Rhinolophus ferrumequinum: one gene and its partner. The protein of the gene in region 1 interacts with the protein of each later gene in a biochemical or structural test. Links are inferred from orthologs where the notes say so. Each region holds a gene or a part of one and is shown in the gene's direction. Other genes may lie near its edges.

What was found.
Region 2: the proteins of FLNC (region 1) and XIRP1 form a complex in vitro, tested with the Homo sapiens proteins (2 studies listed by BioGRID and IntAct, with this or other methods). The link is inferred for Rhinolophus ferrumequinum from reciprocal best matches to the Homo sapiens genes FLNC and XIRP1.

The regions. Positions count from the first base shown.
Region 1 is NC_046309.1:17,312,083-17,319,265, reverse strand, and holds the start of FLNC (filamin-C), read left to right. Parts: upstream 1-4,166; 5' UTR 4,167-4,424; coding exon 4,425-4,779; intron 4,780-7,183.
Region 2 is NC_046300.1:13,480,721-13,488,609, forward strand, and holds the start of XIRP1 (xin actin-binding repeat-containing protein 1), read left to right. Parts: upstream 1-4,878; 5' UTR 4,879-5,013; intron 5,014-7,878; 5' UTR 7,879-7,882; coding exon 7,883-7,889. UniProt on the Homo sapiens protein: Protects actin filaments from depolymerization. Required for correct cardiac intercalated disk ultrastructure via maintenance of cell-cell adhesion stability, and as a result maintains cardiac organ morphology, conductance and heart beat rhythm.

The DNA.
Region 1 (7,183 bases):
GAGACCAGCAGCATCGGCATCGGCAGGGCAGAAGCTCAGCCCCTACCTCCGACCTGCTGACGCAGAGTCCGCCTTTTAACAAGATCCCCAGTTATTAGGCACAATAACATTTGAGAAGCACTGCCCTCAATTAGATTGTGTGTTCTCAGTCGTAACCTAACGGAAGAAATTCTTTCACAACTCACCTGGGGCGACTGGCCCCTCGCTGGTGAGTGTAGTGAAACCCTGCTTTTTATTCCCTTTACTCCGGCCACCAGTTGGCTGGAAAAGACTGAACCATTGTCACCCCAATAAATTTTAATAAAATAAAAAAAAAAAGAGTGGAGGATTACCTACCATCAAAGATCACTGATTTAACTTGGAATGAGAAGTCAAGGTGGAGGTCACGGTCTGGTAGGCAGTGGGCCCCCAGTCGGGACTTTATCAGATCCTTCCCAGGCCCAAATCTAGAGCCTGGGCAAAGCTAGGAAAATGGTCCCGTTTTTCCCTAGCCTTTTTGCTTAGCATACAGAGCTCTTCCCTTTAGGACACTTGGCTCCTGTTGGCTCATTTTAGAGTGCTCTCCTCTTCATCCCTTTAGGCTTTGACTCCTAGCCTTATTCATACACTGTTACCAGAGTAGATCAAAGAGGTCTCTCCGGGTTGAATGTGAAACAGTCACTTGAGCTTGTTTTAAGTCTACAGGGGTGTCTCCTAGAAGCCCCAGGCAGGCACGCACCCAGGCTGGAGTACAGATAGAACCAAGGACTCAAAACAGCTTCAGGGGCCTCCCTCTCCCGCTCTACTGCCCTCTGCGTCACTGCTGCTTTTCTGCTCTCTCCCAGCACAACAGCCCCCCTCGGCTTTCTCTTCCCAGGCCACGTGCTAGAGCACACCACCTGCCACTCCTGTCAAGGACCAACTGCTATTAAGGAGCAGGGTGGGTGGTTCTAAAGATCAGAGGTACCCTGGTTCTGATTCTGGCAGGTGGATTCGGGGATCACGGAAGGGAAGACTGGAGGAGTGTGAAGATCCTGGCGGTGGATTCTACAAGGGATAGAAACAGAGCTGGGAGGAAGGCCTCACTCACCAGACCCCAGATGGTCCCCGAGATACCAGCAGAGAAAGCAGACGAACTTTTTTTCTGATCACCTATTAGCTGCCAGGCACCACGCTCATTTTACATGTTCCCTCCTTTCATCTTCATACATAAAAAATCGCCATGACAACATTAACTCCATTTCACAGATGAGAAAACTGAAACCCAAAGGAGTTACATTACCTGCCCAAGGTTATAAAGTCTATGGATCTTTCCATCCGACCCCACCGTCCCTGGCACCCAGGTCAGGGCCACAGTCAGTATCACCGATTGATCCAAGGACCTGCTGTGAGCCTGGCCAGTCTCCTCTCATAACGGGTGACTGTGGAAATGTCCCTGGCTCCAGAAAAACAGGATTCTCAAACATGGCCCATTGGACCCGCTCACTCTGACTCTGTTTAGCCCAAGTTAATTATGGCCACTGTCCGTGGCTGATGAGCCCCTTGATGGGAGAAGTAGGGCCAAGTGAAAGGCAACCTGGTCCTCTGAGACAGGTCAGCGGGTGGTGAGTCAGGGGGCTATAAACAGCCTATGGCCCCAGCCAGCGTTACCCCAAATGCTCAGCTGATGAAACCCCCTGTAAGCCCCTCTATGTGCCCCTGCCTGGCTTGGCCCTTCCTCAGGGAGGCGGCCCCACTTGGCAGGCCGTAGGACCAGCATTGCGCACGGTCTGTTCCAGCCCTCATGGCCAGGCCTGAGGCCTGGGCTCATGGGCTATATTGAGAGCTGAGTCACCAGCCTGCGCCTGGGTCAGGCTGCTGGGACTGGCTGGCTGGGGCCTGAGTCAGGCCCCGATTTATCCTGGAGAGCAACAGGCTCAGGTTTCTGGGGAAGGGGGGTAAGAAGGGTGCTGGGAACCATCCTTGGCACTGGGTACCCTGCTCTACTGAGACCATTCACTTACTCCTCAGGGGCCTCTTACGGACCTCTCTTGGAGAGAGGGAATGAGAGGGGGGAGAGAGGAGACTTCTTTCTCCACTCACTGGCCTCCCTCTGAACCCTCCCACCTCAATGGAGGACCTTAACTGACTGGGGGACACACCAAGTAATGCCCCAAAACAGGACTATGAGCCACTAGGATTTGTAAAGGGGCTGTTGGCTCCAAGGAAACCCATTTTACCCCTTTCTCTTCTCCCTAGCAGCTCAGAGAGAGGAACCTATCCTTTCTCAGATCTGTACCTCAGTTTCTTCATCAGGGCTTCAGAGACATCGCTGAATCCTGAGCTGGCACCTCAGGTTAGGTGTCAGAAGTCTGCCATTTTTACACACACACACACACACACACACACACACTCACAAACACACACACTTCCCTTGTGAGACCCAGCTATGTGTCATGTGTCCCCAGGAGCTGGGCATCTCTCCACAGGAGAGCTCAGCCTCTAAAGTAGACGGTCAACACTGATGCCTGGTGGTTGGTTTTGGCCGTGGGACAAAGGTGGCATGGGGCAATGAGAATTCTGGAGATAGGGAAGGGGGGTGCCAGTAGGAGAGTGGAATTCCTGAGCACCTCGTCACAGGCAGCCGACAGAACATGAGCCGCAGGGCCCAGGCTATTTATACCTTGCCTGTCACTATTAGGGCCCCCAGAGCTCCCCCCTCACAAGCTACACACAGCAGTTCTCTTTTCTGTTTCTGGCCCCTTCTCTACTCCTCCCCCTCCCTACCTAATGAGAAGGGAAAGAAATCATTCATGGACCCCTTTCACATAAGCACTCCCGCCCACAAAACCCGGGAACTTCTTTCTGAGCTCCATAATGGAGATTGCCCTCATTCTGTCCGCTATCCCCCTTCTCCCTGGGGGTAGAAGAGGAATAAGGTAGAATGTTATACCTCTAAGGTCCCAGAACCTTCCCAAACTTCAATTATCACACAGCTTGAATCGGGGAATGTCTGGCCCAAACTTACTTGTTCTTGAAGAATGGGAAAGCTGAGGAAATACAGCGCAAAGGGAATACCAGGGGATATGGACCACATGCATGCTACAAAATTATGGATTTATATTCTCTGTATATATATTCTATAGCTCTGTCATCCCAGGCCAGCTCCTATTTGACTGCCTCAAGTTTCCTTGCTGTCACCATTCCCTCGCCCAGTCCTGCCTAGGCTTCCTGGCTGGCTCCCTTGGGCTCTCTCTGCCCACCAGCCCCTGTCACGTTTCCCCTTGGCTGCTCTGGGCAGGGCTCTCCCTCTTTGTCTGGCGAACCCGCCCTTTCACTGGAAGGATCTGCCCTGTGGCCCAAATGGGCACCTTGCCCAGGGGGCTCCCTGCTACTACAGGGCAGTTTCTCCCTTCCCACTCATCACCTTGGTTGAGTCAGACTTGGGGGGGTGCACAGTGTGACTCACTGGGTACTCTTTTCCTGAGCTCAGCTTCATTCTGAGGGGATGAGGCCAAACAGGCTGGTGACGGGGACACTGAGTCAGGGGCAGCCTCAGTCTTTCTCCTGGGACCCTGGGTTTGGCCTTCAAACTAGGCTTTTCTACCTGTAAAAGTGAAGCACCACCCCCCACCACAACCATCACACCTTCTCCCCAATTGGCCTGGGCGGTATCCTTATTTCCTCTCAGTCCATCTCTGTACTAGCACACACTTCCCTTCCCTGGCACAGGTGGACAGTACCCTGGGCTAGGAGCCAGGACTCCCAGGCCCTGTCACCAATTCATCCAGAAAATTTTGTCAACACCAGATCACTGTGTTTTACCCTAACCACTGACCTCAGTTTCCCTATTGATCTCTTTAGTCCTGCGGGACGTGGAGGGGACATATTTAATCTCTGACGGGCAATGCTTAGTTTTGGGGTGTTGGGTGCCCTACCCCCCACCTTCCAGCTCTGCTCCACCTCTCCAACGCAGCGCCCCAGGGACTAGCCCCTCTGGGGAGCTAACTGGGGGGCGGGGGAGCCCCCCCCTTGGGCCAATCGGGCCGCGTGGGGGAGGGGAGGACAGAGGCGGGGCGGTCGGGCTCTGCGCGGCCCCCACCCGCAGGCCGGGCGGCATTCCTGGGAGGCCGGCGCTCTGACGTGGACCCGGGGGCTGCGAGTGCGGCGGGGGGAGCGCGGCCCGGGGCTTCTTAAACCCCCCGCCCCGGCCGGGCCGGCACTTCCCGAGCACCGCTCCGCCCCCGAAGGGAGAGGGAGAGAGAGAGAGAGAGAGAGAGAGCGAGCGGCCAAGGAGCGAAGAGTCCCGCTGAGTCCCGCCAGCCAGGGGCGCGAGAGAAGTTGAGAGCCGCACAGCGCAGAGCTGCGAGTCCCGCGATCGCCCAGACAGCGCCCCGACAGCGCCCCCAGCCCCTGCCCAGCCCGTGCCCAGCAGGCAGCACAACCCTCGACCCACCCCTGCCAGCATGATGAACAACAGCGGCTACTCGGAGCCCGCGGGCCTCGGCCTGGGCGACGAGGCAGACGACATGCCGTCCACGGAGAAGGACCTGGCGGAGGACGCTCCGTGGAAGAAGATCCAGCAGAATACATTCACGCGCTGGTGCAACGAGCACCTCAAGTGCGTGGGCAAGCGCCTGACCGACCTGCAGCGAGACCTCAGCGACGGTCTGCGCCTCATCGCTCTGCTCGAGGTGCTCAGCCAGAAGCGCATGTACCGCAAGTTCCACCCGCGCCCCAACTTCCGCCAGATGAAGCTGGAGAACGTGTCCGTGGCCCTCGAGTTCCTCGAGCGCGAGCACATCAAGCTCGTGTCCATAGGTCAGTGTGGGCAGGGGAGTGCCCCGAGGACCGGCTGGCCCGTGGGGACGGGACACAGGTGCCGGTGGGTGCGGGGAGCTGAGAGAGAGGGAGGAGAGCAGCCCCCTGACACGGGGAGGGAACCCCGGCTCTCCCGCCACCACCGACGCTGGCCACACGGGCACTGCCTTCACGCCCCTCTCTGCACAGCGGCGGGCGGTGGGGGATGGGGAGATACCCGGAGGGTCCAGAGTCCCCCGGCTTCAGCCTTCTCCTACACGGTCCCACAGACCCGCCTCTCTACTCATCGTCCGCCTTCTTGCCATCGGGCAACCCCAGCCATACTTGAGAGGACAGGGCCAGTACCCATTACTGATTCCTGGGGGCGTCTTCCCTCAAACAAAGCAAAGGCTTCCCAGCCTTGCAGCAGCTCCACCGGGAGGAGCGGGCTGAAGGCAGGTCCCAACCACTGCCGATCCCGGGGCTCCGGGGCAGACGGAGAGCCGGTGGCCCGCATGTGTTAAGCAGCTGGGTTCAGGCCCGGGGGCCGGGGCAAGCAGAGCCCAGCCTCAGAAACCTAAAAAGGCACTGAGCGAGCGCGGGAGCCTTAACCCCCGCTAGTCCTCCTCGGGCTCAGCGTGCCAGGGAGGGGTCTCCGCACGTCCAGGCCCGGCCCGGCCCCAGCCCACCCCCTAAGCTGGGATTGGCTGCAACTAACGCTCGGGGCAGAGGGGAGGGAGGGGAAGGCCTGTAGAAGGGAGGAAGTCATTGAGTGTAACCAGATTTGGAAGGTGTGTCTGTGCTGGGTGGGGGTGGGGAGACACTCTAGGCTTGGGAACCAGAGGCCAAGGTTGGACTCTGAGTGGCCAAAGGCTGCCCCTCCCCTCAAAGCTCTGCTGTCCTCTCTGCAGGCTGGTGGCCTGGGCCAGACCCCCTACTCCTGTGTACCCCTGTGGTGAGCTCTTAAAAGTCCAGCTGTGATTTACAGGAAAGTGTCCCGTGAAGGGTGCACCCCAAGGCCCCAGGAGAGGGGTTTAACTTAGGGTCAGATGCCTCTCCTGCCAGACTGCCCCAGAGTCTATTCCGGATAATTGAATGTCCACCCCCAACTCTCCCTCAGGGCATCTCTAGGCCTCCTGATTTAGCAGCTGAGGTCAGTCGGGGGCCCTTTGCCTTGTCCAGTCCCCTCTCTAGGCCTTACCCCCTCCTGCCCCAATACTGCCCTCCCACCCCACCCGCTCTGGCCTGGAAATAGCCCTACCTCCGTGACACAGCAGATGTCTCTGAGCTTTCCAGAAGGACAAGCCTGAGGACAGGAGTGGGGGAGGGGCCCTGGGGTGTGTAGTGGGGGTGAGGGCTATTGAGAGTGTGTGTGTGTTGGCAGGGGTCTGAGGGGAGTCTGCCCTTGGTCTGTCACCCCCCTGCACCGGGGATTTGACGGACAGGACTGGCTGTCCCAGGTGGGGTCTCCAGGGGAGAGCCGGGGGCCTCAGCATATCTTTGTAGGAAGCTGCTCCCTGCTTTCCCCTCCCCTCTGGGTTGTGGGGCGGCTAGCCCCTCTCCAGGCCTCATCCTTCCTGTGCGCACCTCTCCCCTCCCCCATGGTGGTGCCTGGCTCCAGCCCCTTGGCTCAACTGTGGAGGGGCCGGCTCAGAGCAGAGGGGGAAGAAGCAAAAGCTGGTTTGGGGTGGGGAGGGAAGTGCCTCGGTTCCCGCCGAGAGGAAGGGAACCATTCCCCATTTGGGCCAAGTGGCTCACTCCCGGTGATGAGATAAGCTGTCAGCAATTCTGCTGCTGGGCCTGAGGCTGAGGTTGGAGGGGAGGGGGCCCAGGCGGAAGGAGCTTCCCAAGCTTGAGGAGACGTAGTGGGGTTCCCCACCAGGGGTGGCATCCTCCTTCCTCTAGTTCCCTCGTTTCCCATAAGTGATTGGAACAGGCCGTCCAGGGGGCCTCCTCTAGGCATTGTCTCAAGACTGAAATCGAGTGTCTGGGCACCTGGGAGGAGGGTCAGAAAGACTCCCCACGTCCCTCTCTAGGAGTGGGGTGACAGCTGGGAGCTGAGAAGTCCACCTGAAGGAGGGGGTACTCTTTCTGGGTTGGAGGAGCTGTGTGCCCTTCTTACCCCACTCCCCGCATCCCAGCCCCCCCCAGCCCCTCCAAACAAAGAGACCTATGAGGCAGCACTGTCCCGCAGCTGTTCCCCAGTTGCTATTCCTTCTCCTTGAGCCAACAGCCAAGGGAGGGGCTGGAGGGGGCAGCAGCTGTCCCAGCCCCTCCCTCGCCCAGCCCTCTCTCCACCCCCTCCACTTGGGGCCTGGGGCAGCCTCAGGCACTGGCTGTTGGGCTCTTCCCGCCACTTTGGGGGTACCCCCTGGCAGGCGAAGAAGTGGTGGCTCCGTGGGGTAGAAGAGAGGAAGGCTGGCTT
Region 2 (7,889 bases), on another chromosome or scaffold:
CGATCCCCCTGAGTGCTTCCTCTCCTGGTTTGCAGTTGCTACATCTTGTAGTTCTTCTAGGTTTTGTCTCTTCTACCTTGTCGGCATGGCTCCGACTCAGCCCCTCCCCCCCTCCACTCTGCCATCATTCAGAGCATGCGCTGCTATGACAGGCCCTCATCACCTGCCTCCTGTGACCCAAATTGCCCCCTGATTAAAACCCTTCAGGAGGGGCCCAAACCTTTGCCTGACACTCACGACTCAGCCCCCGCCTGCCACTCAAGGCCACTGTCCACCCTCTGCCCTACACTCCAATCGCACTGCACACACCACACCATCCACACCTCTGTGCCTTTGCCCACTCTCTTCCCTCTGCCCAGAATACTCTTCCTCCATCTGCTCACGGCCAAAGCATCCCCGATGTACAGATAGAAAAACTGAGCTCAGAGAGCTGACACAACTTGTCCAAGGTTGTGGAGCTGGCAAATGATGGAGCTGGGGTCCCAAAGGAGGACCATCTGAAAGCAGCTCCTTTCTCTACTCTGCAGCATCCGGGCTCTGCTGCAAGCCTCAGTTTGCCTCAAGTGCAAAATGGGAGGAATAAAAGACTGTGGGTTCTTCCTGCTCTGACTTTCCCTAACCAGTATTTATTTCTTGATTTTTGAGATGCTCTGAGGCCCTCTGCTGGTGACCTGGGGGTACTGAGCATAACCACCTAGGAGGCCCTAGCCAGCCACTTGGGAAAAAATGCTTAGGCCAAGCTCCGGGTGGACTGGGTGACTTACAAGTGGGCAGGCATGCCCCATGGCTGCTGCAGTTTCCATTCTCTATTGGTTTTCTGTTGCTGTGTAGCAAAATGCCACACGCATAGCAGCTTAAATGACACCCATTTATTAGCCCACAGTTCTGCAGGTCTGAATCCGGCACGACAGGGCTGGGTTCTCTACTCATGGTATCATAAGGCTGAGTCCTCATCTAGAAACTGAAGAAAACTCTTGTCCCGAACTCATTCAGGCTGGTGACAGAATTCACTTCCCTGAGTTGTAGGACTGGGGCCCCCGTTTTCTTGCTGCCTTTCAGCGAGGGGCCTCTCTCAGTTGCTTAAGGAACCCACATTCCTACTCACATGGCCATCTTCAAGTCAGTGATAGTGCACCAAATCCCCCTCGTGCCTCAGATCCCCTGACTTCCTCTTCTGCCAGCGGTTGGAGGAAACGCCACTGTTAAAGAGCTCACCTGATTAGGTCAGGCCCACCCAGACACTCTTCCTTATTTTAAGCTCAACGGGGAAGCACATGTCTAAATCTTCAAAGCAACCACATGATAGAAGCTCAGTATCACCTCACCGATGGGAGAACCTAATGTAGCAGATGCTGTCAGTAGCCCCCATGACTCCTTCCCCCGCCCCAGGGCTCACCTGCTTCAATGGACTGTCCCTGTACAGGACTACAGCTTCAGGACATCTCCAACTCCTGCATCTCTCTGCCTGAGGTGTGGGCCGGGAGTGTCAGGGAGTTAGTGCTTCCAGGAAGAGCTCTCAACCCGTGGCTGAGGATTAGTGGATACATACCCCCGCCTCCCAAACCCAGCTGAGGCATGTTCCACACCAGTTCTCAGAGGGTCCCCTGCGGGACGAAGCCCAGTTGCCCACAGAAGTACTTCCCCCTGCTTTCCTCCCTCCCCCAACTCACTTTGTGACTCTAACTACATTCCTCCTCTCCAGTTAAATCACTTGCACCCAAACACTCATCTCAAATTCTGTCACTGGAAGATCCCAAACTAAGATACTAGGGTGCAGAGAGCTGGAGGACTCTCAGAGGTCATATAAATAGGAAGGGACAGGCTGGCGATTTGATCTCAGGCAGTCTGACATCAGATCCCACACTCAAACACCATGTTCTGCTGCCTCTCCTGCAATAACCACAACAGTCCCATGGCAGGAGGGTGCAGCACTCCTTGCAAATCAACCCACGCTTTGAGCTGACCCCAGAGCAGAAAATCCCTTCTCGGGGTTCAGGTGATTTTATCAAGAGGCTGAGCAGGCTTGTCTCCTGCAGGCTTGGAACAGACCCAGCCTGGCCTGTCCAGAGCTGTCCCTTGGCACCAGGGTCTATTTCCTGGGTGAGGGAAGCCAGGACTGCCAGCCAGTGCCTTGAAGGGCACTTGTCTTTGGACCAGGAGGATATACTCAGATCTGGGTCCTGGAGAAGCTGGGGGTGGCCAGGATCCGGGGAAGAACTTACTGAACTTATTCATATATGGAGTTTACAGTGTGCCAGGCACTATTCGAAATGCTGTGGGTGTGTGATGAAATGTATATTCCTCACAGCAACCCTTTGAGATATGTACAATTGTTATCCCCATTTTATAGATGAGGAAACCGAGAAACAGAGAGGGTACATAACTTGCCAACGTTGCACAGCTAGTACGTCTCACACGTAGTCTGGCTCTTAATCATTGCTGGATGCTGCCTCTCCTGAAACTTGAGGTGAGCCTGCTGCCAGCTACTCACTCTGAGCTCTGCCTTCAAGTGCCAGCTCTCCAAGGAGACTTAGGCGTGAACTTCCAAACAATCCCCAACTTTGGTGGAGCCCCACTTGGAAGGAGGGGCTGGCAGGGGAAGAAGCCCTCAAGACTGAGAAGCAGTCGGCCAGAAGGAAGGACTGTGGTTGCCAGAAGACAACACCCTTCAGTCTCCACCTCCGCCCCCAAGTCCCCTCTGCCTTCTAATCAGCACAGCCATTCATCCTCAATGTGTTTATTTATCCCTAGCCTCATTCCCAAAATAATTGAAGGGAGCTTGAAAGGATAGGTGCACGGTATCTCCACCAACGATACTCCCATAAGTAATGCCTGGCTTACTGCCTGAATGGCCTTGCAACTGACACCTGGAAGACTTGGTAGTGTTAGATCATCACACATGGGGTGAGCCACCCTTCCTGGTTTTGTTAGAACTTTCCCACTTCTAAAACTGAAAGTCCCTTGTTCTGGGAAACCCCTCAGAGACGGGCAACAGGGACAGTTGGTCACCCTCGTTACACAGGATGCAGGCCACAAAATCTACTTGCTAGAAGACTGAAAATTTAGGTCAGAGCTTCCTAAGAGCCAAGGCAAAGAGAGAAATGCCATCTGTTAGGAGATTTTTAGCGTCTTTATAGTACTGTCCAGTAGAACTTTCCACAATGATGGAAACGTTTTGCACTGTCCAATATGATAAGTACTGGGTACGTGTTTCTATGGAGCACCTAAAATGTGCCCAGTGTGATGGAGGAACTGGATTTTAAATTTTATTTCATTTGGATCTATTTAAATCGTCACACGTGACTAGTGGCAACCATATGGGAAAGCACAGTTATATGCGATAAAAACAAACCAGGTGGTCAGGAAAAGCCTCTTTCTTAACACTGAGGCCTCAGAAATTTCTACCATGACTCATCACACGTAAGGGGAATACAAAAGTGGGTTCCACCTGGGTGCTTCTCTTTTCTTACACGTGTAATAGCAGCAGGCACTTCTATAGCATGTGCTCTGTGCTAAGCACTCTTATAAACCCTTTCCTATGTTAATTCATTCAGTTTTCAAAACCATCCGAGCAGGAAGGCACTTGGGGCATCCCCAAGCCGAAGGCTCCCTAAGGGGATACCTAAGACTCCCCTTCCCCTAGCCTTTACATCTCCCTGACCTTCCTGGGAACAGCCAGGAACTGGGGAGCAGGCAGAGGGATAGAAAAGGACAGGGGACACCAGGAGGATAGAAGACCAGGGAGAGGGTTTCCTGGATGCCCGTCTCCCTACCCTCAGGCCAACACTATGAGATAGAGGTTGACTCAGTGGAAAAATTGAGTAATGCCTGGTATCACTCCCTGGCACCACAGGGCATTCGGGATGTCGGAAGGAAGATCCTGTTCTGCCAGGTGACAGAATGCACCTGTACGGCCTTAGACATGCAGCCTGGGCAAAATGCCACCTTTGCATGTGCTCTGGACGATCCCCGATGCCCCTTACCACACCGGCCCCTTCCCGAGCCTACCGTAATTGCCAGGATGTCTTTAGCCTGCTAAGGCCTTCAGGCTCTGGGCAGCGAAGGAGGGGCAGGCATGACCCCCCCCCCCACCACCACCACCTCCTTCTGTGGAAAGCTGATGACTCCAGGGTCAGAAATAACCCCGCAGTCAGCTCCCCGCCTGCCACTCCGTTCCCAGAAAGTCTGGGCCCTGAGTCAGAGGGAAGAGCCCAAAAGTCAACAAGGGCCCAGATAATCTGCTATGAAAACCACAGAACCATTCTGTGGAATTCTCTGATAAACCAGGGACCTAGTGAAGAATTGAGGCCTGGAAATTCAGATGATTTCCCCCAAATCCAGCTGCACTCAGGGCTGTGTAGATCTGACCTGCGGGGCATGAGGAAAAATGGGTATCTTTAGTGCAGAGGGGGTGGGGGAGGACAGCGGGGACTTACTCTCAGAGGTACCCAGGCCGGGACCAGGGGAGGAGGGCACAGGGGGCACACACGCGTCAGGAAAGCTCAGAGGCCAGTCCAGAGTAGGGAAGCGGGCTCACAGGACTAGGCAGGGCTGTCCCGGGGTCAGCTGTCCCTCCTTATTCATTTCCTCAGAATAGTCTGGGACGCCAGCGCCCGACACCTGACTGAGTCACTGAGCCCAGTCCTCCGATCAGACTTGGATGAATGAAGTGCTCCCCTCACTCCTGTGCACCTCCCGGCAGAAAGGACATGTAACCGATTCCCCAGGATGGAAGAGTGACTTCCACAAGCCCTAAAAATAACTGAACCACTTCATATTCTGAACTTAGCCTCTCCCGCCTGCCCCCACTCTGGCCCACCCCTTAGCCAGCAAGATAAAGGCAGCTGCTGGGACTGGCAGGGGACAGAGACCCGGGGCCAGGGCAGTGAGAAGGCATCTGACGGAGCCAGCAGAGCAGGACCAACCCCAAGCAAGAAGCTAGAGAGGAACGACAAACCTTAGGCTGCCCCGCCACAGACCCCAAGCACGCCGTCAGCCAAGTGGGACCCTCAGGTGAGTCACCTGCTTTTTGTCTGTCCATGGCAGGACTGGCTCTCCAGGCTGGGGTCCACTCTGCACCCTCCGGATGGTTCTCAGGATACCGTGTATTAGGGGTGGCAGAAGGAAGTTAAGGGGCCGTGCAGCTGGACGTAGGTGAGTGGAGAGGTCTCTGGTATAAAGACTCCCTGAGGACGTAAAGGGACTGGTTGCCACAAGCCTGACGCCCGCAGAAGGGCCAAGTTCTTACCAGTCTAAAAAAATCCAGAAAGGCTTTCAGGAGGAGGTAGCCTGGAGTTTTGATTTTCAAAATACAGGTATGGAGTTCTTAAGGCTTCCAGGCTTCCTCCCAGGCAGCTCCAGTGTCTGGAGGAAAGAGGAGGAGAGGAGAGGCGGGAGGAAATGCAGGTGGAGGTGGGAAGCAGGCCCGACTCTGCCTCCTTAGTCTCCATGAGCCAGGGGCAGGGCTGTCTCAGCAGAGGGTCCCACTGCCCTCCCGTCTCCCCCCGTAGCTGTCACCCTCACACTCTCCTAGGGGTGCCTGCTGGGGAGCAGGGCGGCACCACAGCCGATAAGAAACCTTCACACTCTCTTATTTCTTGGGAGCCAGGCCCCATGCCCAGCTGTTGTGGGTGAAAGTCTTGGCATAACTGGTCCCAGGAATGTCTCCCCAGGGCTGGCCTGAGCCCAGCTCCCCACATATCATGGCCTAGGACCTGGGCTGGGATGCCCAGACCATCATCTTGCCCAGTGGGCAGACGGGGGGGAGGAGGGCGGGGAAACGGAGGACAAGCAAGGGAGACCAGATCTGAGTCTGCCAGACCAGATGCAGAGACCTATAGTGGGGCTATGCCAAGGCAGGGCAGACTGGGGACAGAGGTGGGGTCATCCTGAGGGGCTAGCCAGCCCGAGAAGGCCATGTTCTGGAACACTTCTTGGGGCTCAGGCCCCTAACCTTAAGTCTGGTCCCAGTTCTGAATTCTGCCCTCCTCCTCCTCCATCCCTGCCTTCTAGAAACTTAAGCCTAAGGGTCTTAGGCCAGGCAGGGGTGAGGCTGGGAAAGCCAGGAGTTGGGGAACCGGCTTCAGGCCTAGCTACTGTTTTGCAGAGCCTCCTGGGACAGCTCCTCTCCCCTCTTCGGGCCCTAGTTTCCCCATCTGTACAATGAGGGGTCAGGTTCAGTGACCTCTGAGGGTCCTTAGGTCTGACATCCCTGGACTCCATGCTTCTAACTGTTTGGGACCATAACAGGGATTCTAGAGATTCCTGGGGTTGGCAGAGGGGTGGAGTTGGTGGCCTGCATATGCCATCTGCTCAGGACACACTGGTGGTGACAGGACAGGGAGGAGGTGGGGACAGGCACAGTTTGCCTTTGGCAGGGGGTCCTCGTTAGAACTCAGAGACTACAGCGACTCCCCCAGAGTTATGGTGAGAAGGGGCAGGACCAGGGAGCCCAGGGTGGAGAAAAAGCTAAGGTGAGCCAAGGCGCTCAGGGCCCCACTGGCCGAGCCTGAGCCTCCGTCAGGAGGGGGCCCAGGGCGGCCATGCGGAGGCCGGGACCTTGGCTATATTTAGCACCGAGTATGAAGCAGAGCAGTGGGTCAGGGGCAGCGGGAAGGGGACATGCTTCTCATTCTTTCCCTACTGGCCTCTGGGAACTGTTAGTACACCTGTCACAAGACAGATAAGACACAGAGGACAGAGACCAGAGACCAGAGACCAGAGAAGGGCTTGAGGGGTGGGAGGCCATGAAGGGGGGCCGGGTGAGCTGGGGGGAGGCAGTGCCTTGGTGAAAGCTGACTCACCTGAAGAGGAAGAAAGGAGAGGAGCACAGAGCCAGCGTGAGGCCGGTTGCAACACCGTCGGGACTGAGTCTCCATGAGCCAGGGCAGCACTGTCTTTGCAGATGGTCCCATTGCCCCCCTCCCTGTCGCTGTCACCCTCACACTCTCCTAGGGGTGCCTGCTGGGGAACAGAGGGACACCACAGCCGATAAGAAAGCTTCACACTCCTTACCCTCCTGTTTCTTGAGAGCCAGGCCCCAAATAGGGTCTAGGAACCCCAAGTCAGCACTGCCCGTTACTCATTCACCAAGCTCTGACCCCTTCTGGGCCTCCGTTTCTTCATGCTTAATTACGAGCGTTTGGGCTAGAAGACCCTTGAGATACCCCAGGCTCAGACGTCTGAGTCTTGGGGTATGGCACAGAAACCCCTACCTGGGAATCAGAATCTGGCTCTGCCCAACCATGAGATACCTGGTGAGCCTCTACTTCTCCCACGGTAGCATGGGCTGCGGGCCCCAGCTATGCATCGGTCGGCCTGGGACAGGTTGGAGAGCCCCAAAGGGATTGGGCAAGACTCCCAGTGAAAGTGGCAAGCACGCCCTCTGGTGTCATGAAAGGGCATTTTCTTCTCCATGGTAAACAGTCACCAGTTTAGGGACCGACTGGTCCCTGACTAAGACCCCATAAATCACGATCTCCCTCCAGGCCACTCACCTGGGACTCCGCCAGGGAAAACTGATTTTGGTAAAGGAAGGGGAGGATGGGGCACGTCCAGTTTGTCTACTGAAGGTCTGAGCATCCCTTGTGGGGCTGAAGGACAGAACTTCATGGCCAGCAGCGCCCTGCTTGCTCCCTAGCAACCCAGGTGATTCTGGGGAAGCCAGGACCCACCTTGTTGGATGGCTCCATATGCCCTAAGTTCAAGACTTGTCACACACCAAGCATACAGGTGGCAGAGTGAGACCCAGCTGAGGTCTGGAGAGGGCATGTTACCTCAGGGCCTTGGGCCTTGCTCCCTGCCTTTTCTCCCCAAAACTGCCCCTCCCCCCGCCCCGAGGCCCCCAGCCCCACCCTCATCTCTGCCCCTTCTCCTCAGGAGGATGGCCG